Lepisosteus oculatus: one gene and its partners. The protein of the gene in region 3 purifies or fractionates together with the protein of the main gene of each other region. This does not show direct contact. Links are inferred from orthologs where the notes say so. Each region holds a gene or a part of one and is shown on either strand. Other genes may lie near its edges. The genes, in order: dicer1, calcoco1a, aurka and ppp6r3.

Region 1 (7,936 bases), on a different chromosome or scaffold from region 3:
TGTTTCTTTGCAAATGGTTTCAATTCGACATGTCTGAGAGTCTTCTTGTCAAAGGCATAATGTGATTTTTAAAAATAATTTTAAAAATGTATTTATTCTTTTCACAGGAGGAGGTTTCTGAATTGGTTGAAATATCGGTTTCCGCTGCAACAGACAGCTCTGAGCTGAAGGAAGAGAGAATAAATGGAGTCAAGAGTGGGAAGCGCTCCTGTGTCGCGAGAACTGATTGGGTCCAGCTCCCACCAAAGATATTCATCTCCTCTGCATCAGATGATCCAGAACACACATCTCCCGACAGAGGTGGGCACTGTCAGCCCTGGGCCCACGGAGACGACTCCTCGGAGTCCACCTCCAGCTCCGCAGTATCTGCCGGGAATGGAAAACTGCCCCTGGAGCTGTGCTCTGAGATGTCCTTCCTAGTGTCCAGCTCGAGCTCCCCGCAACCCTCCTTCGTGGACTCAGTGCTTGACTCTCCGGACTCGCTGAGTGAGATTGCGAGTGAGTCCATGCCGCTGGATGGAGAAGGACAGTCTTCCGACAGCAGAAGCAGCAGCTGCCTCAATGAAAGCGATCCTCCTTTTGATCCCAATGGCAAGTGCTCCCCTGAGAAATCAATAAAAACTGTAAAGAAAGATTATATCCAGGGCACGGAAACTCCACTAGAAGACAATGCTGCAGAAGACAACATTTTTTCTGACCTTTTTATCGATGAAGGCACTTTCTCACAAAGTTCTGTGGATAGCTTTCACATGAAATCCAAGCTTCTGTCTGAGGAAGAAGATGCATACAGATACATCTTGGATTTGAATGATGCTGAAAATGCAAGTCAGTCAGAGTGCTGTAGTGGTCAAGAGGAGATTAGCACACCCAGTGAAGCCCAGGACAGACTGGAGACTGCGCTTAAGCAGAATTGCCTGTTGCATCACAGTTTAGAGGAGATAGTCCCCTCATTTATGGCTTCGTCCAGTGCTGACTTGTGTGGGAATACTGTCCCTTCAGAGCAGGACAAAGAAAGGAATCAGGAAGGGCTGAAACTAGATGCATGCACCAGACCTGAAACTCAATGCACCACCCAGCTGCTTTGCATTAATGAACCTGGTGAAATGAATGGAAGTGTGGTATATAATGCTAGACAAAATAGTATTTTACCTGTGGACATGGTGTACTACCCTTGCTATGAAGAAGCCGTATCAAATGTTTCTGGAGCATTTTCAAAGCCGGTCACTGAAAGAAAGCAGCTTCTATCTGGTCCATCTTTAGGTTCTGACAGTGCTCCAGCACAGTCCGATCACCATAGAAACACAGAAGCCTGCACAGGGAATCACCCAGACATGCTAGAAACAGAACTTCATGCTGATCTGGAGCACCTTAACAGAGTCACAGAAAGGTCTTGTCATGGGTCCATGTCTGCACAGCAAGACAGGGGGACAGAGGACCACTACGAGTATGTGGTCAGTACTGACGGGGAAGTGTCCACAGACAGGCTGTCAGACTCCATCAGAGATTGTCTTGCAGAGCAAAGCCAAGGCTCCAGTCAGTATCAGGTATGCAGAGATTTGGAATTAAGTATTTATTATTATTATTGAAATAGGGAATAAGATTACATGTTGTTAATGTGCTGCATCTTGTTTTAAAGATTTGTCTGACTTTTTATTCAAAAATGATTTATTATTAATCGGCTACCTGTTAAGCTCACTTATTTAGGGGAATATTCAAAGGATGAATGTATTGTAATAAATGAGTAACAGATGCCTTAGTTTACTTAGTAAAGTTAAATATTTTTAAATGTATCTTTGAATTTTTACACATTTTCATTCATATGTATCTTTCCTTTAGTGGGGAACAAGAGTGGTATTATATGGAAGTTGTATTATTTTAAGCAGGCTATTATAAAACTAGAAGGGTTGTACTATTTATTTAATAATACTGTATGAATTCCTGACTATCACCAACCAACCTTTTTTACTGCTGAAATGTACTGAAAGTGGTGGTAAAACTTTTTGGTAGCTAATAATTCATCACAACATGCATTGTAAATTTAAACTGATGTTCCTGAAGCTTCAGTGTTGAGGTATGTCAGTTCGATTATGTAGCCTGTGTGACACCTGTGCTGTTTCCCTTCTTTACTTAACTTAATGTCCTTCCCCTCTGGCTGAGTCCTTGCAGGCTGTGATTGCTCTCTCTTTATTCATGGCCAGGATGCAGGAGAACAGATTGAGAATAAAATGCCAGGAGGTGTGGATTGTGATAAGAAGGAGCAACAGAAAGAGGACTTCTGGGATTTAGAAGATGTAGAATCAGATGTGTCTGAGATCAGCTGTGAATTTATTACTGCCACAAAAGGACATACTGCTGCTGGAGAAAGCACAGACTTACCGAGGTACCACAGTTATCTGATGTAACACATAATATTCTCCTACATGGTATAAATAAGAAATGTTGTCTCACTGGTGATTGATGAATATAAAGATAAGGTAATATTTAATTATATTAGCTGTGCCTTAAAATGACATTTAGTTATTAAGATACTTTGAACTTAATGGCCTACTTGGAACTGAAAATTTGGTCTGTGCCACACGAGCTCATGGCCTTAATCTGCAGTATCCTAGTCAAAAGGAAGGAGTGTGCATGCTGGACACACCAGCAGGTGTTACTCTACTGCTCTGCGCCTTTGGCTCATGCGGTGTGACAGCTGCTGCGGTCTGTTGATATTCATGTCAGGGTTTTTACCGGAATCAGTCACAGTCAACAGGATACTTTTTTTAGCCTTTTGTCAAAAGCAGCATTTGCTCCCATTTCCCCCTTCAGTAAAAATGAAAGAGTAGTTCAGTAAAGTGGTGGAAAACATTAAATACATTTATTCTCTCTGAGCAGCACAGCGGCACCGTGTGATGATTCACTGAGAGAAAGCCACCTTTCTCACATGCTATACCTGAGGAAGCTTGATGACAGTGAGGACATTAAGGTAAGTTAATAAGAAACCCAGCCTTAAAGAAAGAATTCAGTCATTTTAAAATATCTCCCTATAATGTGCAATTTAAGCAATGTGTGATAAAGAAACCTTTAACTTTTTTGGAAGATTTTACTTCTCCATTAGCTGAATGTAGAGATGCATGTAGAAATTAGTTTTTTAGAAAGGTTCACCATTTCATTGGCTTGTGTGGAGATTAAATCTAGAACATATTGCAGTTGTTTTATCTACCTCTACAGTTTCAGACTTGGAAAAACTCAACACATCTGTGCCAAGTTGTCTCCATTTAACACGAAGCATGCAAAGGAAATGAACAGGTGTTTTTTTTTATCTTAACAGGAGACAAGCATGAAGATCAAGGCGAAAGGGTGTGAGACAATTCAGACAGTTAGTTCTGATACCAGGTATTTTATATGAAGACGCCTAAACATTGTACTGTAATTCTGCCCACATTTATCATTGTATACTGTATCACATCACCTCACTTTATTAGCCACATACAATTGTCTTGCATTAGGAATTCATCTTCTCGCATACCCCAGGTTGCTCTCCATGAGACACAGACACACAGACAGGGAGAGAAGCTTGGGGTCAGAGCGCAGGGTCAGCCATTGTACATTGTACAGCCCCTGGAGCAGTTGGGGTAAAGGGCCTTGCTCAGGGGCCTAACGGAGAAGAGTTCCTCTGTCGGCCACAGGATTTGAACCAGCCACCTTCCAGCCACTGGCATAGATCTTTAGCAAAAGTGCCACCACTCCGCCTGTTGTAGACTGTTGCTGAAACAAATACTAAAAATCATTAGACAAATATTACAATTACATTGTGATTATTGATTGATTTATGATTATTTTAAGGCTTTTCACATAATTTATACATTTTATTAAATATTTCATCTTACTTTAAATTATTAACTTATCTAGATGCCACCTTAATGTTCAGATCCGGAAGTGCAAAATGGCTGCTGTATTAATTAATCAGTCAATCTTTTATTTGCTTTAATTGCCTTTGCAATAGTTTGTCACAGAGCGCTTTACACATTCACAATATAATGGTTTAGGCTTGGTCATGCATGGAATTTGTTTGGAGTACAAAACAAATTGGACCTTGAAGGATATAGTAAGAAGATGAACAGTTTATCTGTATCTTTTTCCAACAGTAGAGGCTAGATAGGTCGAGTCAGTCACAGTTAAGGATTAAGGCAAAGATAGAGAGCACAGGGTTCACCAAGGAAGCCTAAGAGGCTGGTTGTGCCCCTTGTAGTGGGAGCACAGAAAGACAGTCTTCCAGCAGCACGCAGTGTCATGTAGCAGGTCAGAATGAATACAGAATGACACAATAGGCTCTGTGGTATTAACAGTTCAGAGAGTCTCAACAAATCCAGTACTCTTAACTCGGTAAGTGAATTCTGCAATTCTGTATTGAAAAATGTGACTCGTACACTTACAGGTGTCCTGGATCTGGAAGTAGCTCTTAGAGCCTGAAGAAATCATCGTTACTCACCTTGTGCTCACATTCAGTGAGCCTTTTGTTCTGTTCCACAAGCTTTCTGTGTGTGTTAATATTGTACACTCATCAAATTAGATATTACCAGGTGTTGTCTACTTTCGTTTTTTCCCATGACAACCACTTGTAAGTTAAAGTTCTCACTGTGCTGCTGGAGGATCTCAGATACAGAGGTCTGCACTGCCTCATGGTGTTGCAATCACCATGCTTGAGTCAGAGGCTCATCACCTCCTTCATCACAGGGTGAATGAACCCCTGGACATTGCCTGAATGGCAGCTCTCTTATCTTGCAGAGAGGAGTACAGCGGTTCAGAGAGCTCGCCAGAGACGCCTGTCAGCTCTTCGGAGGACTGCATGCAGCTGCTGCTCTTCCTGTGGATCCTCCTCTATTGCCTTTTTCTCATCCCCCAGCTGGACCTTGAAGCTCTGCCACATGCTCTCCTTGCACTGAAGAAATGAGGAGCTCTGTTACATGTTACAGGCTTCACGGAAGGTCACAATCGACAGAGGACAATCAAGAGCACAGAATGTTAATCTACTCATGTTTGTACATATGCATTTTTGTTTTATTTTTACTTTATAACTTATTACTGACTTCGTAGCCCAACTGGAATCTGAAAGGACACTAGACTGCAAGGAGTCACTAGATGGTACAGTAACAGCGCTGCACACGGTTTACTGCCTTTAGAAAGTCTTTTATTACAGTGTTCTGTAGTTTATAAATAATTATTATTGCTTGTAAAAGAGCCAGTCATTCTAAGTGGAAGGATGGTACAGTTTTTTTCACCAGTGGATATTGCAGCAGTAGTTTCAGTTTTGAAATATGCAAGGTGTTATGTCACCTTGTGCCACTTTAAAGCATTAGTCCATGGACTCCACATCAGTCTCTGTGTTCCTATACTTGTGCTGCTTACATTTTCTATAGACAGAAACTGCCAAAGATACAGTACAGTATTTAGAGTGGAGAAAGGCTGGGCCTCTTCTTTTGCTTTGCTTACAAAGTAAATACAGTCTTGGTCTGTGCATTCTTTTGCATTTTAAATTAGGCAAGCAAGTTTTAGTGTGAGAGAGTGTTTAATTTATAATTGCTTTTTTGCCAAACATGAAGAAAATAATGGAACTTTTTGTGTCGCAAATAATTTTACATAAAATGTAAATATATAGAATGAATACTGTATTCATTTCTATTTTTATTGTTTCTTTCGTCATAAGGTTTATAAATTCTTGATTTCAGAATTCTTGGGATATTTAAAGATCTAAAAATGCACTTATTTACGTATAATTACATTGGTAATATTTAAAAAATAGTCAGGCTTTAAAATTGTTTTTGTACAATTTATATTAATGAGAATGGAACTACAGAACTTTAAAGGTTTTATAATGGATCATGTATTAATTGTATTTCTTTTGTTAAAGGATGTTAAAAGGTTTCAATATAGTGCTTTACAAGTAATCTGAAAAAAACTAAATTTTCATACGAATGAGTTCTAATTAAACTGTATAAAATGGTAGATTTTTTACTGTTACCCGAATGATTAATTTTTAAGCTATGGGTTTTGTTGTAACAGAAGAAATAAGGTTCTTGATCCCGAGATGAAGTGAAACAGATGAGTTTATTGCATGCAAGGAACAATAAAGCCGAAGTCTTGTTTCCCGCAAGAAACAACAAAACCGAAGTATTGTTCAACGTACTGTTACAAACTTTTGGGTTATATAGTGTTTTCTTCTCCGTTTCTGACGTCACTCGGTATGATGGTAAAGAGGGGGGTTCATGGTATTTGGCCAGTTTACGATGTTCTGGGCAAATGGTCAGTTTAACATTACACCCAGGGGGGTTCCTAGCTGGCATCTGCAATCCTTATCAGTTAACCCCCTTTCCTGCCATAAACCCCTGCTTGTGACTTGGAAGTCTAAACCCCCTACAGAAAAGATTAAATTCAAACCCCCGTCTTCACATCTTTCTTCATTCCCCCCTTATAAAATATGGCATACGTCAGTGTAGCCTATTTTTATACATACAATGTCAGGGCAGATCTTTCCTTTCTTGGCGAACAGGTATGTATTGCCATGACATTGTACATTCCACGGTTATGGCAAGATGTGATACATGTTTTTGTGCACGTGATGATTACAATTATACATATAAACAATACTACTCCTACAGATAAACACTATAAAAAGGTTCCACCCCAGGCCCCAAACACAGACTTTACCCAAAACCCAATTCCCCAATTTTCAGTATAATAGTCCTGATATTTCTGTCCCTCATTGTAAATGTGTTGGGCCAGATCTGAGATGTGCTCAGAATTATCAGGGATATATGTGCAGCATTCAGTGCCAATTACTGCACAAGTTCCTCCTTGGGCCGCCAGTACATAATCTAAAGCTAGTCGGTTCTGCATGGCCACTGTTCTGAGGGCTACCATCTCATCATTAACAGCCTTCAGACTAGATGAGGTAGAATTTGCTAATTCTTCTAAAGTCGAAGCCATTTGAATTAACTCTCGACTCAGAAAGTTCATGCCGGCTTGTGGAAATATTATACCTAAATAATATTCCCAATCAGCCAATTTTCTTTGTGGTCTGTGGTTAGGTCCGAAGGGGGTGTGGGTTTGAACACGGATATGAGGAACCACATATCCTAAATAACATGAGCCAGACCACTGGGCTGGCAACCATGGGTAGGCTCGTTTTCCACAAATGAAATATGTTCCGTTTGGCGCTCCCCATGCCTCTGAAAATAAGAAACTTATACCGAATTGTGGGGTGTGCCGATCCCATCCTGGAATTTGGAAGGTAGAGGTGGATATATTTGCAGCGATGGTAAGGTTGCAACGACTCCATCCAACCAAGTGCAGACCATTAGTGTGCTGAAAACATATGTTTCCCTCACGTTCCTTATTTAGAGTCAGGTATGGTGGTGTATGGCTTCTGTTATATTTAGGAGCGTAAGAGCCTGTGAAACTCGTGGGCTCTAAGCCTCGCTCCTGTAGATACTGTAATGTTGTGCAGGTTAAAGTCGTGTTATGGCAACCCCCATAGTTTGTCATATTAAAATCTCCTAAATTATCCCTCCAAATGATCATGCCTATGACTTCCTCGAGACGCCAAGGAATGGCTCCCATAGGAAGTCCTCCCTGTACATATTTGGGTAATGCTGCACACACACAGCAGGCACTTTGGTTGGTTTTCTTAGCTGTCAGATAGGAGAGGCCTAAAAAGGAATTAATTCCATGTTCTCCTTTGTGGGAGAGATGATCATTAATCCCTGCGGAACATAGTTCTACAGCAACAATTATCATTATTGACAGAAATGATTTCATTCTGAGTCTGTAAATGGGGATGAGGCTCGTCGGCAGTGTGGCGCGTGGATCCAGCGATCTTTTCCTTCCACTCGAACCGCAGACTCGGTTGTCAACAGGATCTGGATCCCATCTGGGCTGGAGAACCTGTGAAGGAAAT
Region 2 (7,469 bases), on a different chromosome or scaffold from region 3:
GCCCAGACAAAGGTGTGATAATCCCGTGTAGAAGACCAACCCACCTGCGCCGGGAGAGGGGGAGGCACAGAGACGAGATCAGATTCCAGGACAATAGCTGTGAAACCAGCAGCGACGGTAACGACAGCAGTGCTGCTGACAACAAGGCTCCCTCCTGCCTGATGTGTTTGATTTTGCTGTGCAGTAAAAAGCTCACCCTGTAAAGCCAATGGCTTTATTTAAATCAACACTGACACCTGCCAATTGGTATCTCTCCTTGAAGCCTGGGAGACAGCACAGAGTCTCCATTCACAGAGAAACTGACAATCGGCGGTTTGTGTTTTTCTATATTAATCATGAAGTCAAAACTGCCTCAAATCACAATTTTTTCCACAGTGGGAGAGATGCACTTTTTGGGCCTTTGGGAAAAGAAAAAGGTGAAGGAATTCCCACGTTTCCTGAAAACACGAAATGGATTGTAAAGGCTGAAGGATCTATTTTAAAACGCTAAGCTCTTGCCTTTTGGACAAACATGTTAAAATAGGGAAGTTAATGTTCAGATTGGCTGAAGCTCCACAAACAAAATGTATAATTGGCCAAAAGGAGCCAGCCTAGTTAAAACACTGATGAGGCTGCTGAGGAGGTGGGGGAAGATGACACAGAGGATGAGGAAGGTACCTTGAAGAGGCCTATCCAGTCACTGCTGGCCCAGCAGTGAAGGGGGCTCATGCTGTAGTGGCACTCCACGCGGCTCTGGGGGAAGTAGCTCCTCCCCACATTCCGAAACTCCACCCTCCACTGGGGCGGGGCTGTCGTCTCCATGGCGACTGCAGGGCTCTGGACACACCCACCTGGGGGTGAGGGGAGCAACAGAGGTCGATGCAGGAAGACGGAGAGCGGAAAGCAGGGCACCTGGGTTATCATGCCAACTCAATGGAATACCCATGAGATGCAGATCTATGTACCACATTACCATTACACAGAGCAGGAAGAGAGTTTAAGTACTCTACTTCCCTCCTCCCTCTCTCGCTTCTTTCCAGTTCCCTCTTTATCCCCTTTCCCTTATCTCCCCAGCCCTTCTGTTTTGCCTTGTCTCAGCACCCACTGTCTCTCCCCCCCCCCTCTCCCAGACCCCCTTATCCCTCTCCCTGGACGCTCTCCAGCAGTGTTGGCAGCCTTGCCGTGGGAACTGCTCCTGACTGCCTCTGGCACACCTGGGCCAGGTAATTCCACCAGGCTCGTCCGCGTTCCCTTTGTCTTCCTCCCGTTCTGCCTCGCACACGGGCCTCGGGGCACACCGCAGCAGAGCGGGCACCCTCCATAAAAGCAGCCCTTGTGAATCGGCAGGTCTGTGCTGCTGGTACAATAGCCCCTGTCAGCAGGTGCTTTCAGGCACAGACAGGGGAGGGACCTCTGTCCTCAGCGAGTGCCACAGGGATTGTGCTCCTGCTAGTGGGCCTTGGCTGTACTCTCCATCCTCCGCACCGATCACGAGCAGGCTCAGTCACTCACTCCGGGTGGCAGCAGCTAGGGACCACTCAATCCCGGAACTGCTGTGTGCGCTACACAGCCTCCTGCTGGGCGTGTCCAGCACAGACCACTCTGTACCTGCAGCACTGTGTGCAGGAATGCCCAGCACCCTGGGATCAGACACAAATTTCAATCCTCAAAGACGGCCTCTGCAACAGACCCGTCCCGCCTCCCCCGGCCCCCGACAACTTGAGGCCGCGAAGAGGACAACTGCACACCGCCTCTTCAAACACGAAATTAGATGCCTTTGAATACCCGAAACAGCGAGCCGAAAGTCATGCGACACGGAGAGAGGCAGGGCTCAGGGCTCAAGGTGTTGTGAAACCGGGGGTCCAAATTCTTCTGGAAACCGAAGTCCTACTTTTCTCAGAAAGGGACAGAGCGGGAGGGGGGCGCTGCAACATGAGCAGGGGGACTCAGGGGACACCGCGGGTCCAGCTGACGGAGCATGACTAAGGGAGGGGAGGAGAGGAGGGGTCGAGGGGTTTATAATCATCGGCACAGAAATAAACAACAACTTCGTCCGCCAGAGCACGACACAGACACGCAGGGTGGACCCGCACCTGCGAGAGTCCCGGTCCACGTGTTCCTCTCAAACGCTAGGTGAAGGCAACCATCTCTGCGGAAGCTGAGCTAGTCATCGAGTCACGCAGCTCGCTTTGTCCGTGTACTCGCTTGAGTTTTGCCGACGTGAATAAAATGAATTCCAGCAATATCGCAGGCGCCCGCAACTCGAGTCGTGCGCTTCAGTAGCGCCAGCGACACGACGGCGCTAGACGGGTCACGCAGAACCCACGCTCTCGCCCGCCGCCGCCGCCTGTTCTCAGTCTTGCTCAGGACGGGAGGCCTGTGGTCCACGCAGCTCTAGGTCGCTGTAATTGTTCCCAAGCACTCAGGCCTTCAGTGTGTCGAAGGCCGCGGTTTTGGAGACATTTCAAGTGTGTGCACGGCGTAACACCCGTGAGACAGCTCTTGATGAGGACTGCGCTGATGGAGGTTCATTAATAGTTCTAAAAACACGTCTAACAGAAACATTCTTGGCATCCGGAAAGCGGGACGCATGATTCGGTAACGGTGTACTAAATTGCTGTTTTCGGCTTCGCTGGCAGCAAACCAGTTTAAAATTACTCTCATCCTTCAGAAATTAAGTATACATTTTTTTAACCATGTGCATCGATTCCCATCTGGGATCGCTGTCCCCTTAAGAAACCCATAAGAACTGCGTACGAAAACATTTAAAACCGCACAAGACACATATAATTAAGTTACATTTTTCTCTCTCTCTGAAAATAATAAAAACGCAAAACGAACAGTCAAGTACACTAAAGTAAACACAAGATATGCTTTGTCTTTAACTTGTTTTCCATTCAACTAGTAGATAAAACGTCACCTGTATTTTCTGAAAAGATGTTCAAATGAAGACGCACAGAACTCTTTTCTCAACGACCTCTCTCCGCGTCAGCTGTTCCACTAACCTATAACAATAACAAAAACAGAGACCTGACCGCGTGGGCCGTCACGCTGCTTCCTGGGAAATGTAGTTCTTTTCTGTCTGGGGGACCGACGCTATTGGACACTTTGACTGCAGCTCCCCTGTCACGGAAATGACGCGCTAGTAATCGAACATGCGCTGCAGCCCGTTAGCAGCGATGCATTATGGGGGATGTGGTTTCTGTCCATGCAAACCTTAAACCAACTTCAGGGCTCGCCTGTACAAGCTACAGTTTCCAGAAAAAAATAAATAAATCGGCAGCTTTTGCGATGGAAGGAACAAGATGAAGATTTATAGGCCAGGAAAGATTCCAGATTCAGATTACTGAACTCTACCCCTACCGCCGGCTCACACTGATGTGTTTTTCTCTCATACTGCTTATCTGACTTTTTAAAAGTTGTATGTTATTTAATTGTTGTTGTTGCTGCTGCTGTTCTGTGTTTATGTTTTTGGTGATGCCTTTATTGTCTTTGTATTGGAGGATACGTGTAAATACGCATTTCATTGCACTTGTGCATATGACATAAACTGAACTGAAAGGTTTGACTTGGCTCCCCGCCTTCTGTTTTGATCAGAGCGATAGTGTACTTTATCACACACGTGGACAACATCAAACACATCACTAAAGCTCAACGTTGTACGACGCTGGTGTCGTTTCATAAAGGTTCATCGAGCCTTCCAGGATTCTGAAATGCCAGTTTATTTTCTGGAGCTTAGACGACTAATAAAATCGCTGTTATTTGACCCCTAGTAATGAACTCGGCACCTGACCAGCAGCTGTAGTCTGTAATAGGGGCCGGTTAACCTGCACTGGTGTGTATTATTAAGTTTGGGGGTAGCTGACACGCGTGTGTCGCGCTGACGGGACAACCGCGACAGCTGTTGTCAAACGCGATGCGCATCTGAACACCAGATGGCGGCAAACTTTAATGAACAGCGCGGTTGAGCAAAGCTGTCACCCTGTTCACTGTTTTTTCTTAATACCGGAAGAGACATAAACTGAGGCGGACATTATTATTAGACACATTATTTAAAATGAATCTATTTAACGATCGATGGGGAAGATCTCAGGACTGTAGTTTGAGACCCTTGACGGGGAAGGAAAATCCTGGTTCTTTCTCTCGTTTCTCTGTACTCTCGGGATTGATAGATTTCAGGCTCTTGTGCAGACAGGGACGGCCCTAGTCTTTTGGGGGCCCTGGGTAAGATCTTGGAATGGAGCCCCTGCAGATCATGATTTGTGCAGACACTGCTAGTAACAGCTCCCAACACAACCTTATTTCACTATTTAGAACAATTCAATACATGAATTATAGAACTAGAAAACTTTCACTAACCAGCTTTCAAGAACACATAATACATAAATTATCAACCAGAACGTGGAGCACACATTTAACAGACATAATGTATTTTACAATTGAGAGTAATAAATAGTAACATTAATAACAATACATAATGCTAGAAGGACCTCTGTTACTTCAAAATTATAGCAAATCATGACTCACAAGATACTGCACTGCAACCTTTGTAGAAAGTAATTGTAGAAAAAAATATGAAATTAATAAAAACCAAATGCACTCAATGACAAGGGGGTGAGATCAATAAGGCTGAGCAGAAAGTTTGATAAACATTCTATAAATCATTTTTCTTATATTTTTGCCTCAGGTATGTTTGAATGAGCTCTGAAAAGCACTACTCCTGCTGCTGTCACTGGGAGAGAGATTACAATCCAAAGGGCTACTGGTTTGAGTTCACAAACCCCCCATTTAATGAAATGATAGATAGATACTTTATTGAACCCGTGAGGGAAATTGCAGTGCAACAGCAGCTTAACACACACAACACAGCCACAGTGTAACGAGTTATATAATAATAGTACAATACATACAATACAATACAAGAGTTACTCACAGTCCGGACACACAAAGAACAAACTAGAACAGAACAGTACACAGAAAAATCGTATCACACATATGAATATAAATATAGATATAAATATAATTGTATTGCACAAAAAATGGTTGTAAATGGGAAAAAGAAAAAGAAAGAGAACAGATGTAGCAGTAGATGTGTAGATGTGTTCAGTCCAGAAACAGGTCACTGTCAATATTGCCTCTGCTCAGATGCAAGGTGGATGCGTTGTACAGTCTTATGGCAGAAGGCAAGAATGACCTCCTGTAGCGCTCCAGGAGGAACTACAAGAGGAAATACAGGAGGAACCGCAAGGATAACAATGCATTTTATTTCAATTACATGTAATCGATTGTGCTGAGCAGTCTTTTGTACTGTTCATTCATCTTCACGCTGTTTTTGGCCGGACAGTGCCGATTTTCAGGCGGGCGACCCACATGGTATGTGTACAATCACATCTGTTCATTTCTAGTAAAACACCTCCAGCAGTCTGCGTGTGTAACATGAAAATCTGGCTTGTCTACCGTTCGCTAGTGCATCTGACAGACTCAAAACCAAACGCAGTACAAATGATTACGTTCTTCTGCATATTGTGCACTATTGCAATGACCTGACGTGGTATAGCTCTAGTCTGAGATCGCTTAGCCTGCTCTTCTTTTCTTCAGCTTCAGAAAACACGACGGTCTCCATTATGGCCGCCTTCCATTAGGATGATCCACAGCCACAACAGAAAGAATTCATCGAGCCGAGCCGATGAACAAGACATTGTGTTGCACATTGAGGGGGCCCTAGGCCGTCGCCTGGTTCGCCCCTTTCCAGGGCTGGCTCTGCAGACAAAGCTGAAAGGCGCCTAAATATTCAAAGGTGCATTTAAGACTGGTCTGTCCTTCACTCCCGAAACCACTGTGCACTAGGCGTCCGGTCTGGGCTGAGCTGCTACAGGGAGAGTCGTTTCCCAACTGCATCCGCACCACAGGGCCTGTGGATCTCAGGGCTCTGCAGCAGATCCAGCAGCCGTGGGACTGAGTGTCCGACAGTGAACCTCTCTTCTGGTACAGGGCTGAAGGCTTTCCCTTCTGCGTGCGCGCTTAATTGAGTTAATTGAATCAATTAGCCAGCTGATTGTCGATGGGGGGGTGGAGGACAACCACCCTTGCTCTGGGCAGGCCCGGCTTCTTCCCATGTGCCAGACCTGGGGGGGGGGCGGAGCCCCTTTTGAGTGACAGCTCCCCCCGGTGATAAAGAGCCCAGGAAACGGCACCTCAGTACATAAGCGCTCCGCCGCCGCGGCAGCTAATGGGATGCAGGCAGTGAATGAGCCGCCCCAATAAAGAGCAATGAAGTGGTTTTAACAGAGTCAGTCTGGCTGGGGGAAGCAGAGGCGGGTGGGGGAGGTGTGTGTGTGTGTGTGTGTGTTGGTGATTTACGGTCGGTAAGCTGAATATTACTGCCAGCTCCCTCTGTCCATCCATCTCTACCCCTGCCAGCCCCTCTCTGCTGCTGTGACCGGCATAGGTGAGCGGTAGCAGCTGTTCCTTTCCATGCCTACCTGCTCCATTGCATTCTGCTGGACAGTCCAGCCCACCTCAGGGAAGGCCATCGGTACCTCATGAGCATCCCTGGCCCTCACCTCTGTAACTAGCTGGCCTGCTGCTGCAGAGCGCTGGACTCCCTGATCCCTGCCACTCCAGACACACAGAGCCCCCGGGTTTTTAATCTAACCCCTCTGACTAATCGTTTGCACGGGTGAGCCTTTGTGCGATCGTCTCTGACTCCCGGTAACAAAGGATTTGGTGAGAACATGAGTCTGATTACAGGGGTCAGTCCCTGACCAGGCCGCGAGCCTGTGGAGGAGGCAGAGGTGACAGGACGGACTTCCCAGTGGGACAGATTTTCCTGTCTGCGAGGAGTTTGCGTGGGGAGCCTGAGAGGGAGTGATTGCAGCGTGTGCTGGGCAGAGTTAGAAACACAGGCCAGGCCGCCCCCAGCGACGAGGGAAGTGGGATAACTGATGGAAGTCTTATCATGGGATAACCCCCTCTTCCTTCTCCTGCTGGTCAGCGGGCCTTGCTGATGTTTGGCTTCTCCTTGACAGCTTTACTGCAGGACACAGAGCTGAGAAGTCCCAGAGCCCCAGCCTTTCTGCCACCCAGCTCTCTCGCTCTCTCTCTCTCACACACACACACTACAGAAAACAGAACCCACAGGGAGATCCCTATCTAGCAGAACAGCCTACAGTAATGGCAGCAGAATCAAGCAGGCAGACAGTGCCTCTCAGCACAGTGCAGCAAGAGGTGCTGGAATGAGGCACAGCGGAGTGGTTTGCAACACGGCAGAGCGCTGACAGTATGACAAACTGCCGTGTGGCGTCATTCGGCACCATGCGTCGCAGCCCTGTCCCGTACATACGCGGCGCAGCAGAACGGAGAACAGGCTCGTTTTTCGGTGCAATAAACGTGCATTACAAGAAGGAGTAATAAGATGCAGTCCGCTGAGCGATCTTTATACATGAAACCAGGACGAGACCGGGGGCTGACAGATGGGTTGCTGTCACTGG
Region 3 (8,015 bases):
TGAGTTTTATGTAACCTGCCGCGCCTCGGGAAGGTAGTTTTCTTCGAGCGGTGCTCTAACGAGTTGGGCGGAGTAGGTACCGAGCTAGTTTAAAATGTACCTTCTTTTTAAAAACGCGAACTCCTTCGTGTCAGACCTGACCTGCAAGGCGTTTGCTCCCGCGTGTTGGTGGACGAGGGTGCGAGACCCTTTAGATCTTCAGTGTTGTGCGTCCCTGTCTTGTTACATAAGACATTGGTTGATTTGGACGAGAGGCTCATTTACAGGCCCCATCCCCAGGATCCTGAGAAGTAAGGAATTTTAGACTGGGATTATCTTTCGTGCTGTGTGCTGACTTGTCGGGTGTGGAGCTTGTTCTCCCTGCTCCCTTGGGCTGAGATCTGGCAGGGGGAGAAGGCGATGTCAAACCTTACTTTCGTGTGCACATACAGTGCCCGCTGCCTTCCCCTCGTGAGTGTACCTGTGTGTGTGTTCTCGCCGCGTGTTCCTTTCCTGCAGAGTAGCATTGCATGTGCCTGTCCGCCTGTCCCCTCCGCTGAGGCGCGCTTGTCTGTGCTCCTGCAGGGCCGCGAGGCGATGGAGTGGGTCATCAGGCGGCTGAACTCCGAGATCGAGGAGCTGGCGGCGACCGCCCGCAACACCATCCGGACGCCCATGGCTGCTGCCGCCGTTACTGAGAAATGACCCCTGAGCCCGGGCCCTTACCAAGGGGCGCATCCTCCTCTCGCCAGCACGGCCTCCCTCTGTGTCGCCGCAGACTAATTTATTGTGTGTTCACGCCGACGGGGATCTCCGATCGCCTCTCTGTCCCTCCTGCGCTCGAGGGCACTCTTGATCCAGTGTGATCCAGCCAGGTGTGACACAAAGGGAGGCTGTGGAAACGTATTTATTGCTTGGGCGGGCAGCCTAAGACTCTGGATTTGGTGCCGGTCCTGCGAAATCTGGCTCGTTCGTTATTCTTTTTTGTTCCTTTAGGTCAAAACTCTATAAAGGTTTGTGGGGAACCTGGGCTCCCAGCGGGGGGGGGCACAGGTACTTTCCTGACGGCGCCGGTTCAGACTGAGCTGGGCTGTGACCATCCTGCCACCCCCCAGCAAGAAGGTTTTGTGAACTGGACCTCCTGCAGCTTGTCCGTGGTGCTGTCCGGGTCCAGAAAGAGAGGGATTTGGACTGCTGGGACCCGGCGGTTCTGGGTCAGAGGCAGTGGCGAATGCCGTCTCAGCCCTGGGCTAGAGGGGTGGGGAGGAGAGAAGGGATTGGGAATGCAAACAAAAACTACAGACCAGGTCTGCTGTCAAGGGTGAAGGATATTTATTTATTTTATTTGTAGAGGTAGCGATTTAGCACTTGTAAAGATTCTATTTATTTGAGCCACGTTCTCGCAGCTGACTGCTCCTCATCCAGAGTCCTCCTCTGAGGGCCTGAAACGGGCCCTAGCACGCCGGTTCAATCCGGCAAATATCTCAATACTTGAATGTCAAGTACTGTACGTTTCTCTTTTGGAGTATTAACTGTTGTACCAGTGGAGGAGACCACGGGAACAGAGAGCGGACCAGGGCCGGAGGGCGCGCAGTGGTGCTGTGCACGGCTGGCGTCTCTGAGCTCAGCTTGCGCTGCCCGGGGTCGGGGGTCAGGGGTCGGAGGTCGGGGTGGGGGATCCTTCTTCAAAAGGTTTACTTGCTGAAGCGCTCCAGGAAAGAGGGGGCGCCGCCCTGGATAAATGCTGGCTTTGGCAGTGCCACAAAAGCGTGCGTAGGTCAGAAAAAGGAAAGGGGCGTCTTTGTCTTACACGCACAAGAAAGAAAACCCACGAGTGGAGAGAGGGTACTGAGAAACCAGAGATGGGGGAGGGTGGGACTTTTTGCTTGCTGTACAGTAGGAGTTTAAAGGAATTGTGTATCTTTCGAATGTTCATAACTTTTCTTGTTACCCTGTCATGTAACAAAAAAAGTCCTAGTGTGTTTGGACATTTTTGGAATGTATTTGACCGAACTTAGTGACAAGAATTCAGTGATTGCAGAACTGAAGTCATTTCCGCACTGTGAGCCCTTTTGATTTCTCCGCGTTGACCTGCCATGACCCTGAGGGCATTATATTACATTTGGTCTACATCTGTCTGTAGGAAACACACTACCCACCTCACTTCTTCATGGTGTACATGCTGCCTAGGCTGTGCTTTGCCACTAGACTCGCATTGCCCCTTGTCTAAAAGCTGAGCTCAACAATGTCTGATCCTCTAGGAAGATGCGCTGCTGAGCCACAGTGGCATCAGAGATCTAAACATAACTGGAAAGGTTTGATGCTTTTTCAACACAAGCATAACCAGCCTGTGTCACATTGCATGCACCTGACCTTCTGAGAGACCTGCAAGGCTGTCAAGCTGTTGCAGTCCTTCTGTCACCTGCCAGCTACCTGTGGTGTGAGTTTTATTCGGAAGAGCGAGTGACGTCACGCTACAGGAATGCGCAGAGCTGTTGGGAGTAGGGAGCGGTTGTCAGGATGAAGCTGGTGGAGAGGTGGGGAGCCCGAGTCTTTAGAGTGATGCCATCTCCTGGTTTCTCCAAGTCCAGGCCCGTCGAGCTCCAGCCCTCGCCGTCCACCTCCGCGGGGCGTTTTTACAACAGCCAGCTCTGCGGTCACCTTATCCAGACTGCAGGCAGGGGCCGCCTGCGGACAGGTGCTGTGGCAGCGTGGAGACCGAAGGGTCACGCAGCACGCCAACGTGTGCTCTCCTCCACGACCTGCACAGCGACATGGATGCCGATTCAAGGGAGCATGGATTTTCCCCGTGCCTCACCCAGGGTACCCATGAAACTGCTCGGGGGCTTTTGCAGGCGAAGGTCTTTATTTGGAAAGATCTAGTTCTTTTTGTACAAAATTCCACGATTCCCCCGTGCAGACTCGATAACGGACTCCCACCCGTTTCTTCATCCTGTACGGGGCTGCAAAGAAAAAGTCCCGAAAACGCCCTCTCTGCCGGTCTGGCTTGGTAGAGCGATGCATGTCGGGAAGCTGGTGTAATTAATCCTGTCCTGAGCGCCGAGTTGCTGCGAATCTGTAATGCATGAATGCTGACTAATTTCTACATGCAGGAGTCTTTTACTTTTGTACTAGCGGGTGTGAAGCCCGAGACTAACTTTAACTCTGACTTCAGAGGAGTCCCCCTCCGCCCGCGGGAGTCATTTCCTTGGAAGAGTTTGTGTGAGCCGGAGTGTCGTGACACGGCGGCTGTTCTCGCCTGATCCAGCGCCGGCCTGCCTTGCGAGTTGCCGTTTCGAGAGCTGTTGCTCCGGTGAAGGAGGATGATGGACCTGGAGGCGAGCTCGGGTGCTGTGCTGTGTGGCAGTCATCTAACCTTCGCTATGAGCTCCTGGATGTGTGGCACTACTGAGGGGCCTGGGTTGTGACTTTTTTTATAGGTACACAGCATTTGTGGTGCTTTATAATGTTTTTATACCAATAGACTATGGTTTAAAAGAACTATCAGCTAGAATGTGTGCGGTGGGGGTGAGGGGGTAGGATGCATTTTGTTAAGGCAGGAGAAGGGTGTTTGGTGAGGAGTGAGTGCGGGTCTGTGCTGTGTGTGATGGAACAATACCGATGTCAACAACATGCTTAACGAACTTGTAACAACTATATGCTTAATAAACTTGTAACAATTTAGCCTGGGTGTTTCTTTCTTCACAAGTGGGAGTGGATAGTGGGGAAAGGATAAGGAGCTGCACTGGTCAGTTCTAAGGCCGGTTCTTTAGGGTCACAGGAGTTTGGTTTCTTATTTTTGTTCCCACTCATTATGACACCAATTCCTCCCGGAGGAACTCAAATTGGTGCTGTTGGATCTGGTTGCTGGGACTGGGAGAAATGGGGGTGAGGCCGATGTTCTCTGGAGACGAGACGGCTTTGGTATCCGTCCTGCGTTCCTGCTGCTGTGAGACGTGTGGCTCAGGGATGGAGCCTGGGCTCCCAAATATCTGCCAGAGCTCGTCTGAAGACGCCGAGTGACCCTGCAGGCCGTCTGTGTCTCTGATGAAGACCAGTATAGGAGGTGAAACGGCCAGGTGGTTGGTGCTGCAGACAGAAGTGTGTTCCTGCAGAGGCATATTATCATTGCTCTGGGTCAAGGAAAAACTGTCCCTGCTATAGCACCCCGTCTCTAAGACGGCCTCAGAGCAGCTGCCCTCCTCTTGCAGTGTCTTCCAGCTCACGCAGTCCTCATCTGTAGCCGGGGGGTCAAAAGGCCTGTGGTTTGGGAGTGACACAGGCTGCTTGCAGGTAACATGTGTTTCTCTAGTGTAAGTACACTGGCTACAGAGACTTTCAGTGAAGACTGAGAGGACAAGATGCATGTCTTCACAAAGGCTGAGGTGTTGACAGTGATCAACTGCGTAACGGCGAAGGGGGCTCAATTGGAAGCTGTGTTTAGTACTCCATACAAGGTGCATGTCTTTCCACAAAGGGTTGTAGGAGTCTGGAACAATGCATGTTACAGAAGCAGATGGCAATAGGTTCATAAAGAAGAACCAGCTGAACGAGAGCCTTAGATCGACTTGAAACGGCACGGGTAATGGGGGAGTGGAGGCACGCTGGGAAATTCTGAATTCAGCCATTCTTTAACCTGGTCCTGAAGGACTTCTCCCTACTGAGCCCTTAATCACCAGGAAATTAAAATAATTATTAATTTAAAAGGATTCAATTTTTTTAACTAAGATTTGAGAAATATGATAAAAACTTATTAGCATGGAGGATTCATTTTTATATTACGATAATAGCCGTATTATCACACGGTCTTGAGAAAATGGTTCTCGCCGCACAGCGGCCGTAGACTTGTCCTTTGGCGACAAGCAGGGGGCGCTGTGGGAAATCGCAGCACCTTTTACACCGGCTCTGTACGGTTGGAAAGGCGGCCCCAGCCAATGGGGAGCAGGGGCGTGGTTTGATCTCGGCCAATCAGACGCGGGGAAGGTTTAAAGGTAGTTAAAAGAGGGAGATTTGAATTTAAACAGATTGTAGTGACGTGCGATAGGAGCATTGCGGCCTGCGGGCTGGCTCGGCAAAAAAACTGTGGGTTAAAGCTGAAAATAAGCTCTTCTAATTCTCGGATTCGCCTGGTAACGTACCTGAAAGGATTTAAAATACAGAGACGGGGCAGAAAGCGCGTTTCGGGTGTGCGAGGAAAAGGAGACACGAAAATCCGTCGTTCGGCCTGAACAAGTAGCTAAAAGCGGTACGTGAGAGCGCTTCTGATACTAACGTGGCCTTTTTTCGTTTTATCGTGATCATCTGTCATCTATCATGATCATATGTCAACCAGTTGTGGCTTAGAAGTCTTGGTATATGTAAATAATGTGCTTGTTATTGTTTCCGGTCCGGCGTGGGATATGTATCTTTTGTGGAGAAATGTAGTTGCTAATCAAATATTTTTCAGCTGTATGTGTAACAAAACCGTGAGTGAAACGGAGGTGGCAGTGTCGTGTCCATTCAGGCTTTGGGGAAAAAGGTTCAGAAAAATGCGTACGGTTTCCACGTCGCCATAGGAGACGCGTTTATACACCAAACGATGCGTCTTGAACAGCGAACTAGCCGAATTCGCTTATCTGCAGCGGGACGCCTTTCAGACGTCGATTAAAATCGTGAAGATTATCTGCAGGTGTGTCGCCCTGGGATTTTTAGTTGTGGTGGCGATCGTGTTTTATTTTTAAAATAAATTGGGTATGCTGGTTTGTATTCTAGATCCCTTAGTCGTGTATTTTTAAAGGAGACAGTCGACTTTATTAGCGTAACTCGTCTTGTTTTAATTAAGAACGCGTATAAGAGTTTGAACATCTCTCTTTCCTTCATCGCTCCTTTCTCCAGTGATCCATGGATGCGGCCAAGACGGCGAGGAGGTCGCAGTGTCCTGCGACTGCGAAAGTAAGCTGTCGCCGGTGTGAGAGCCGCCGTGCGCCTCCCGGGATCGCCGCTAGGGGGAGACTCGTACCCACTTCCGAATTCCTGATCGTTTAGTTTCTGAATGCCCGTGCTGCAGAGGGGCCAAAGATCACGTGTGCTCCTCGGGAGGGCGCAAATGCAGGGATAATTTCCGCTTGCACACAGTTATCCCCTCCACCCACACGGGGGATCTTTTGTCTTGGGTATAACCATGAAAAACCGATTCTCAGGGGGGGAAAAAGTTCTGATCAGTGCTTGCAATTGGTCCGGTGGTTCCTGGTCCTGGTGACCTGCAGGTTTGTGTTCCAGCCGAGCCCTTAGTCACACAATCAAACCCTTCATTCGCTTAATAATAAGATTAATGTGATCTGTTTGTTCCCGGGTCTTACACATGCTGGAGCTTTAACTGTTGTACTTTGTAGGTGAGAGAAAATCCCTAACTAAAAACACAATGCAAATATTCACCGGAAGCAGCTCATTAGCATTAGATCAGGTAGGGCTGTGATTATCTAATTACAGTGGGATGGAATGAAAACCGGCTGGTGTGCAAACGCCTTACCTCTCTAGTCTGATCTCCTTAGGTGACAGTTGTTTCTGCTGTGACACAGAACCAAAGCTTAGGAAACTGTGGCTCATTTCCCATGTTTCACTAAAGTTAGCTCTTCCAAGCTTTCTATAATATGTCTGTTTTCTTTCATTCCAAGGAAAGCTTGGTGTTTTGAAACTGCACTGGGCAGGAGTTCTGGAGTGTTGTAGATTAAGGCTACCTGCAGTGTGAAGTGTGGTCCCTGACTCTCCTCTCCCCATGTGTTAGCAGCTCAACAGCGACGGCCCTAAACGGGTCCCCGTGTCCCAGAACAAGCAGGCGGGTGTGTCCACGTCCTCCCAGCGGGCCCTGGGCGTCTCCAACGGGCCGCAGCGCGTCCAGCGCCCCGCCGGGCCGCAGAAGCTGCCCCAGCCTCCGGCCCTGCGCATCGAGGCCTCGCAGGCCTCCCGCGAGAACACCCCCCCGCCCGCTCGGGGCCGGACCACCTCCTCCTCCTCCGCTCCTGCCCCTGTGGAGCCGCCCGCGCAGGAGAAAACTGCAGGTGGGCAGCCCTGCTTTCCCCAGTCTGCGGTGTGACACTGCTGGGCTTGGGCCTGTCTGAGGGAGGGCTGACGGAACATGAGCTCTGGGATAGCTGAAATAGAGCATTACTGGTAACTTTCAGAATAAGCAGCGGTCTTCAGAGCTCCCCGGTACTTGCAGTTCACTTATTTCGATGTGCTGGAGCGAGGAGTGTCCAGTCTGAGACATCGGGGACTCAAGTCAAGACCTGTTGGCCGTTGGGCATAGAGAGGCAGGAGAACGAGCTCTAGATCAGCACAGGCACATGTCAATAAAGGAAATATCTTGGATACATGAAGGATCTGCACACAAAGTCAAATGTTCTTTTACACTAATGTTCAAGAATGTCCCTGTAGTAATTGTCCTTTTTCTTGTGCAGATAAAGCTGTGGCCACTGGATCTATGAACTCTGTCAACTCTAACTCTAAGTAAGAACCAGGAATTGAACTCTTGGGGGTCACATTTTCCGTATTAAAAAAAAATGCATTGTCCTTTTCTCAAGCCAGCAATTAGAATCGATTTCTTTACTTTGCTCCTGGTGCTACTGCTCGTCTTGCATGTGAAGGGGGGGACACTAAACCTAGATCAGGAGAAATTGTTTTTTTTCTAAGCCACTTCTCATATTTATCTAATGGGAAAACTTCCTGAATCCCGTTCCTTCTTCCTCAGGAAGCGCTGGAGCCTGGAGAACTTCGACATCGGCCGGCCGCTGGGAAAGGGCAAGTTCGGGAACGTGTACCTGGCGAGGGAGCGGCAGTCCATGTTCATCCTGGCCCTGAAGGTGCTCTTCAAGAAGCAGCTGGAGAAGGCGGGCGTGGAGCACCAGCTGCGCAGGGAGGTGGAGATCCAGTCGCACCTCAGGTACACCTCCTGCAGGCTCCTTGGGCCTCCCCTCCCGCCGTGGGGAGACGCCCTGTTCACGAGCTTCTCAACATTCCCATGTGGAGAGTGGAGGGCAGTTGAGTGCAGGGAAGTGTCG
Region 4 (7,181 bases), on a different chromosome or scaffold from region 3:
AACAAGAGTAAATTACTACAACTCATTCTAAAAACCTTTGGCAAATTGCTTAACAGTATCTTCTCAAAAAGAAAACAATTTTAAATGACTGATAAATTAACCATATCTCAGCCAGTTTTACCATAATATTTTTTCTCAGAATCCCCAAAAGATACAATGTTTATCAAAACAAAAACTGAATAGGACTGCCAAGCAGGACTGGGTATCAATTTTTTTTACGGTAGTTAAGTGATGCAGCTTAGCTTTTCAGCTCTGTCTTTGGGAAGGCAACCAAAAGAATAAAGCAAATACATTCATGAAGGTGAAAGGTGACAGGAGAGAAATCTGGATTTCTCCTGGCCTAGTTTTCTTTCTCATGAATGGTGGAGAGGAAGGAAAGCTTTTAATAGATTCTTCAAGGGGCTGGGCTATGCATAGGTGCTGGACTTGGTCCAAAACCTCACAATCGTAAGACGAGAAACTGCACCTCCTAATGTGGATATTAATGCCCTACTGGACTAAGCTGCAACTTATAACTTTGATAAAAAAAAATATCCCACTAAAAAATAAACTAAGAAATAAACTTCCCTTTTTGGTTCAACAAACATCATTATCCAAACATTTGCTTCACATTCACCACTCTATTAGTGTACAATAATGCTTCACGTAATTTACTTCTATTTTTTATGACTTAAAAGTCATTAAATTATTTCAGAATGCAAATACTATAGTAAATCTGTACCAACTACCAACTTGAATTCTGGGATTTTAATTTCACTTTTTTTGCAGTGGTATCAGCAGAAGAAAGCAAGCACTTGAACTCATGACAGATTAAATTAAAAGTAAAGATGAACAGATCACGACGCTGCTTATTAACGGGTGTCCAATCATTAGAAACTCCAAGACAAACAAATGACAGTTCAATCTAAAAAAAGGTATAACATTTATATTTCATCAAACCAAAAGAATGAAGAGTTTTGCTCATCTTCCATACTTGGCTGTCACATGGTGTGAGATCACAACCTCCAGTCTAAGAGACATGATACTTAGGAATAGTGACTGGTGATGCAGAAGCTAAACGACTTAAGAATTAGGGGCAAGCCTTAATGCAGAATGACGACTCTACGCATATTATGTTTTCCACTGTACATTTTGCAGGCCCTTTTATAGATTCTATTAAAAACACTAACTGTAAAATGCAAACTTGAGTGGGAATCCAAGACATCTGAAGCACTGGTACTCAATACCAGTGCTGGAATACTATTGTACCTGCTGTGTTTTGTTACTCTTGGGCCCTTTATCTCCAGTGCTAATTACCTGTAACCGATCTGCTTACTGATTTAGACTTTTTCTGCATTCAGTCCTTGATTTCAGAAATGCCATCATCACACATCTCTTCATGCAATCTCTTCTCAACCTTTCAATTCAGAAATCGCTCCCTTATCTCTGACTAAACATCTATAGGTGATCAACTGATCGACAGACACGTGGGACCGAGACTATCTGACAACTCCCAGTGAGTCAGGATTTTAAAATAATTAGTCCGTGATCAACACTTCCCTGGACCAAACTCCGAGGAATCCACACACAGGTTATCCAGGACCAGCACCGAGAGACACCGTAAAAATATATTTTTAAAACCAAGGCCTGAGTGCAATAAAAAGCCTAACAAAAAGCAGAAATGACTGGCAGCTATTAGCACAGTGGTGATTAAATGCCCAGCACACACATGCCCAGGTACTCCATGACCAGGACTGAGAATCACTGACCTAAAGCTTGAATGTGATTTGTCTTAATAAGGGACCACTACTACTCTACTAAATCATAAAAAGACTTGCATACAATACTTCTGCAATATAGTCGTCATGTTTGGACAACATTTAAAACGCCCAACATCTTTATGCAGACGAAGCAGTATCTCAGCAATTATAAAAAAGTTTATGCTACATATCTAATCCTCTCCTGTGGGTACGACTTCATTTTCTCAAAATACTATGCCAAATCGGCGCAAGTAACTATATTGTATATAAACGTATATACACATAGACAGTAATTTTAAGCCAGAAATCGTTTCGCTAATTACAAAACTGACCATTGTGGCGAAAACAAAAAGGCACATAATGCAGCTAATGTGGAAGTCCGGTCAACTTTGTTACACGATAAAGGAAGTATACGACCAAAACACTGCTGCAAAATGTTGATGTTGGAAGGTGGGTTCCTCATCTGTCAGGCCCAAGCCTTGAAATATTCAAGTCCCTAAGCGTTATTACATTCAGCAGTGTGGGTTCACGACTCGTGAACTTAGATGTAACATCGCTAAAAAGATTTAAACCCCCACACAACTAAAATGACACTTCGAGAGGTGGAAATAAAAAGCGAGCAAACCGGAGCGATGTTTTACCCAAGTTCGCGTCGCGGCGGGAGGCAAACCGGAAAATCGCCGAATCAAGAAACTGAACTTCCCAAGCCAGGGGCAGATACCCGCACCAGCCGAGCTGGAGACGGATAAACGCGAAAAGCACAAACAGACGATAACACAGCCTGGAAACACACTTCGCGATTACGCCGAGCCGACGGGGGGGGGACGGACAAAACACGAACTTGTCAACCGGCTTTTTCGGCACGCTTTTAACACGAAAGAACCGGAACAGAGCCGGCACAAAGCATGCACACAAACCAGACGAAAGAGTCACACGGCCACAGTCGCACCCGTTCTGAAACTTAATAAAAGAAGAAAACAAACCCCAACCACTCTGACTCTGCAAAACAGCGGAGTTGCGAACTAGTCCTCTCTGACCAATAGCAAGAACTGCATGGACTACGTACCGACAAACAGAGGGGAAATGGCGACCGCCAGGCATGTAGCTTTTGAAAACGTTTTTGCTACGAGCGTTTCGGACATAAACCGCGAAGGAAACGGGGAATCGTATTTTAAAAAAAAATAAAATGTTTACAGCAGGCGGGAAAAATAGATAAGACCATCTACCAGGACCTTCCAAGATGGCGGATCTATCAACTTCAGCGACCCCTCCCCCCATACATAACTGCCACACCTGCCACTCAAGCTGCCAGCGCGTCTGTGATTGGGCTAAAACGACGTCAGTCAAGCTCAGCCTCCCTCCATACAGAAGAGCGATTTGTCGAGCCGACTGTCAATCATATTAGCAGCGTGACGCGTTACGCACACTTCTCTCAGGCGTGATTGGTTACGTTTTGCAGACGGCCGGCACTGCGATAGAAACTGCGGTCGACGTTTGCCATTTTGGTGCCTTTCTTTTTGGAGTTCATCGCGACACGGAAGCGTGGTGTTGGAGCCAAGATGGATCCAGTTTCACACTCGCCTCTGGGCGTTGTAAGCTGATTGGCCGAGGCCGTCGTCAGTCAAACCAGTATCCCGCACGACTCAAAAGGAAGAAAAGTGAATCGCTCCACTTTTGAGGGTTTAAAACACTTCGCAACTTTGAGCGGCCGTGAACTGCACGGCGGCGCTCACTCACCGAGAAACTAACGAGCCCGCATATCGGGGCGAAAATGTCTTACTGTAATAAAATATTGCATCAGTCGCCCTACCTTCAACGCCCCATCCAACTCGCTTTCGGATTCGCCGCGAACGTTTTTCCTCAGTTGTTTTCAACGCCTTAGCAACAATGTGACGTCGCTATGATTGACATGATTGACATTTGCTGCGTCCAATCACCACCTCGGGATGACGAGTACCGGCGAGCCCGATCGCCAATGGTGTGAACGGAAAAGCGGGTTTTGTTGTTTTTTTTTTGACTGATACGGGCCTCTGTCTCTGAGTGCGAGCGAAACTGGTTTGAAGTCAAGTCAGCTAGATGGGTCGGCACTCGCTGGGTCTTTAGGGGGGTTATTTGGTATAGTGAGTAACTAGCCACACACAAGATTAAGTAAAACTATTAACATAATCTACCATAATGAGCGCAACTGGGAAATAATAAAAAAGACGTGTAAATCTCATGAAGCCTGCGAAGTTCTGATGGAAAAAAATACTTAAATTATGATTTAACCCAGTCTAATGTCTTTAAAGAAGAATACCAGATAAATCTGTCAAGTAGAGGTTTAAGACAATTTTGCATGTACATATGCAAAAGACAAAAACACTCCAATACTATTAAGATTCAGACTCCCTTAAGGAACTGACTTTTCTGTGTACTGTATACTGTATATCCTGCTGTCTTCTAAGCTGTATCTTTCAGGTTTAATCTTTAGAATCTAGGAAACCAAAACGCTAACAGAAAACAGAAAGGCAATTGCCCGAACCACTGTTGTGGTAAAACATTTTAAAGGCCACCAGCTCCATAGTTAGGTGCTGAATAAACATTTTATGCAGTTAACTCCTAAGGGCAAAGTTTTTCCCTTCAAATTGCACCGAAACACAATGACCACCATAAAGGAGGAAGAGAACCTTTCCTAGGCAATTATCAGGGTATGTATGTTGTTGAGCTCTACTTTATTATACCTCTGATGAGGCAGCTTCAATAAAGATGCAGTTACACAGTCTCATGACTGAACATTTTTATATTTTCAGATTGAACCTCAATGGCTCCGGCTTTATTGCCATACTTGATGACTATCGGGTCCTGAAGACTGGGACATATTGAACTGCAATCAGTGGTTGTACATTTTGCAATCAAAGTAATTTGTTACAAATGTTCAGTGCCAAAGGATTACAATTTATTTAATAGAACATGTCGGTTGCTGAATTTATCAATAGCTTACAGGTGTTCCTTTAAAACAGGCAATAAAGCTGGTTGTTTCAGGACCGGGTCTGGAGGTCCCTGTTATGGGGACTCAGAAGAAGCATTACTGTGATACTCAAGTATCAGGGTTTACCAGCTCCTGTCCCAGAAGGCTGGTGTGTCAGGAGGTGTTTCAAGTCTCTTGAAAGCAGCTGTGCCCGAAGAGCTAACAGAAGCTTTTAAACTGGCCCATTAAAGCCATTAAAGCAATATTGAGTTGACTCAGGTTTGGTGTTTAAGAGCCCTGTTGGACTGAAAGCCTGTAGACACACTGGTCCTCCAGAATCAGGGTTCAGGAGCCCTGGCACACAGTAGTATATGTCAAATATATGATCAACATGCATTAGGGCACTAGGGAAAATTAAACGTTAACTACAAAGCATTGCCACAGGTGACAAAGGTGTTTCTATGTTCAAATATATTTCTTGTAATATTATCATATTATCAACTCTTTAATACATGTTAAGAACATATAGAGATATTATTTCTCATAGACATCCCTTCATGTCTTCAATCCTTCTTGCTCTGTCACTAAGTAGACTTAATCCTATATGGAAAAAAACCAATGCTTTGGCACATGTAGTCTGGAGGCAAGAAAGGAGTAAGTGAAATCTTCAATTCGGTCTCTGGTGAACAGTGCCTTCATCTCTGTTGCAAGTGTCGCGGGTGGCTCTGTGTGTGTGAGCAGCCAAGGCTCGTACACCTGCTGCGTGCAGTATCCTGTCCCCAGATATGAGGACTGAAGCGAATCTCCACCCCTTGGCCTCAGGAGGGGGCAGCTCTGGCTGACAGCAGTGTGGCCTGATAAAGTGAGCAGTTTCCGCGGACAAATAAAGCCTCACACATGCGAGGGAGGGCTTGCAGCACACGGGCTGTGATAAACAGGACTGATCCGACAGAGCTGACAGCTGCCACGTCACCTGGACACATGTGACTGCTGCCTTCATGAAAAGTGAAGTCGGAAAAGGGCGCTGGACCTAAAGAAAGGGGGAAGTGTAGTGGTCACAGACCAAGAGATGAAGCCATTAGACAGTGATGTTCCACAGTCCTATTGCATAAGGGCATTCCAGGATCTCCCTGGAGCTGAAAAGCAATTCCGTTTGCTGATCTCTCAGCACTGTTGCACTTGCTTTGTGTGTGTTGGCACTAACTACAGGTGCACAGATGTGCGTCGCTTAGATTTACATTCTGCGCCTGTGATTTTCTTGGTGTCCTGTTGCAATGGTACGGTTCTCTGGGTAAAGAAAATGGGCAGGTCTCCTTAACAGCTTGTTTACTTGATTACACTGCAACGCTGGACAAAGCTACATACACAACAGTATGAGCAAGAGCACTGAAGAATAAACCATATAACACTGAAGAAAGGAGAGAATAATCACACCTTACTTGTGTCTTATGTGCGTGCGCTCTGCCAGTTGTTTCCCAGGTGTGCCTGGATATCCCTGTCTTCTTACATCCCTCAGTTGTTGAAATGGGGTCAGCTGCAGTGTGGTGTACCTCAGTGTTGCTGTAGCACACTGTATACTGTGCACACCATAATGCAGGGCAGGAATACTACAGTATGTTCAGAGCAGCGTAAAAAACAAGAACTGGCATCTGACCCTTAGATTATGTGCGGATCAGAAACTGGCGGATTACAAAACCGTCGCTAAGATTTGTGTGCCAATCGCAGCTGTGTTAATCGTTAGAAGCCTTGTATACATGCATTGTAGTGTTGTAAACACTGATTAAATCCAACCCAGCTGTCTGGTGCTGTATTTGCAGTCCTCTAAGGCATTTGTGTGTGTGTGTGTATCCCCCTCAGACAAGGAAGATATTAAACTGCCTTAAATACAGCTTCAGCTGCTCAAATCATTTCTTCTATAGATTCCAAAAAAACAGCATGTCAGAGGACATCGCAGATGAAAACTACAGCATGGCTTCATTGCATTTCTATCATTTTCAGGTCACAATGTAACAAAACACTCTCTGTTCTAAGTGTTATGATATTTTTTTAGTAATCTGTTCCAATATGCACATTTTAATTAAAATAATACATTAGACTAAGCAAAAATATATGTTTGAAAATAAGTCTCCTTTTTAAAGTAAGCATCTGGTCTAAATATATATATATATTGCAACGTGGTTTTATGGCAAGCACTATGTATGAAATATTCTGGGTCCTCTGGGAATTCTGAGTAGTGAATTCTTATCCAGATGAAATGCAAACCTTTCCTACTTACCTTTGTAACAGCTGGTTAAAATCAAGACTGTCATTTTCACAATAAGTCAGGCCTGTAGAGGAGAGAGACCCTGACATTTCCCTATGGGATTCAGCTACAAGTACAATGCATCATTAAATTTAAATAAGTATTCTTGATTATTGCACACCTGCAGGAACAGTCTATTCATTTAGTTATCACCCTAACCATTTCACACACTATCAACGTACAACTATTAAAT

What was found.
Region 1: the proteins of aurka (region 3) and dicer1 purify together in Homo sapiens (affinity purification with mass spectrometry; 4 studies listed by BioGRID and IntAct, counting the BioPlex papers as one, with this or other methods). This does not show direct contact. The link is inferred for Lepisosteus oculatus from reciprocal best matches to the Homo sapiens genes AURKA and DICER1.
Region 2: the proteins of aurka (region 3) and calcoco1a purify together in Homo sapiens (affinity purification with mass spectrometry; 3 studies listed by BioGRID and IntAct, counting the BioPlex papers as one, with this or other methods). This does not show direct contact. The link is inferred for Lepisosteus oculatus from reciprocal best matches to the Homo sapiens genes AURKA and CALCOCO1.
Region 4: the proteins of aurka (region 3) and ppp6r3 purify together in Homo sapiens (affinity purification with mass spectrometry; 6 studies listed by BioGRID and IntAct, counting the BioPlex papers as one, with this or other methods). This does not show direct contact. The link is inferred for Lepisosteus oculatus from reciprocal best matches to the Homo sapiens genes AURKA and PPP6R3.

Annotation. Positions count from the first base shown.
Region 1 is NC_090703.1:556,232-564,167, forward strand, and holds the start of dicer1 (endoribonuclease Dicer), read left to right. Parts: upstream 1-4,933; 5' UTR 4,934-5,017; intron 5,018-7,936. Other genes in the region: clmna (calmin), read left to right, coding at 108-1,544, 2,199-2,380, 2,875-2,965, 3,311-3,375, 4,768-4,933. UniProt on the Homo sapiens protein: Double-stranded RNA (dsRNA) endoribonuclease playing a central role in short dsRNA-mediated post-transcriptional gene silencing.
Region 2 is NC_090696.1:19,076,444-19,083,912, forward strand, and holds the start of calcoco1a (calcium-binding and coiled-coil domain-containing protein 1), read right to left. Parts: upstream 3,006-7,469; 5' UTR 2,900-3,005; intron 831-2,899; 5' UTR 802-830; coding exon 658-801; intron 45-657; coding exon 1-44. UniProt on the Homo sapiens protein: Functions as a coactivator for aryl hydrocarbon and nuclear receptors (NR). Recruited to promoters through its contact with the N-terminal basic helix-loop-helix-Per-Arnt-Sim (PAS) domain of transcription factors or coactivators, such as NCOA2.
Region 3 is NC_090711.1:2,943,231-2,951,245, reverse strand, and holds the start of aurka (aurora kinase A), read left to right. Parts: upstream 1-5,011; 5' UTR 5,012-5,224; intron 5,225-5,853; 5' UTR 5,854-5,859; coding exon 5,860-5,910; intron 5,911-6,742; coding exon 6,743-7,016; intron 7,017-7,415; coding exon 7,416-7,464; intron 7,465-7,705; coding exon 7,706-7,897; intron 7,898-8,015. Other genes in the region: prelid3b (PRELI domain containing protein 3B), read left to right, coding at 565-684. UniProt on the Homo sapiens protein: Mitotic serine/threonine kinase that contributes to the regulation of cell cycle progression.
Region 4 is NC_090716.1:11,765,679-11,772,859, reverse strand, and holds the start of ppp6r3 (serine/threonine-protein phosphatase 6 regulatory subunit 3), read right to left. Parts: upstream 3,004-7,181; 5' UTR 2,806-3,003; intron 1-2,805.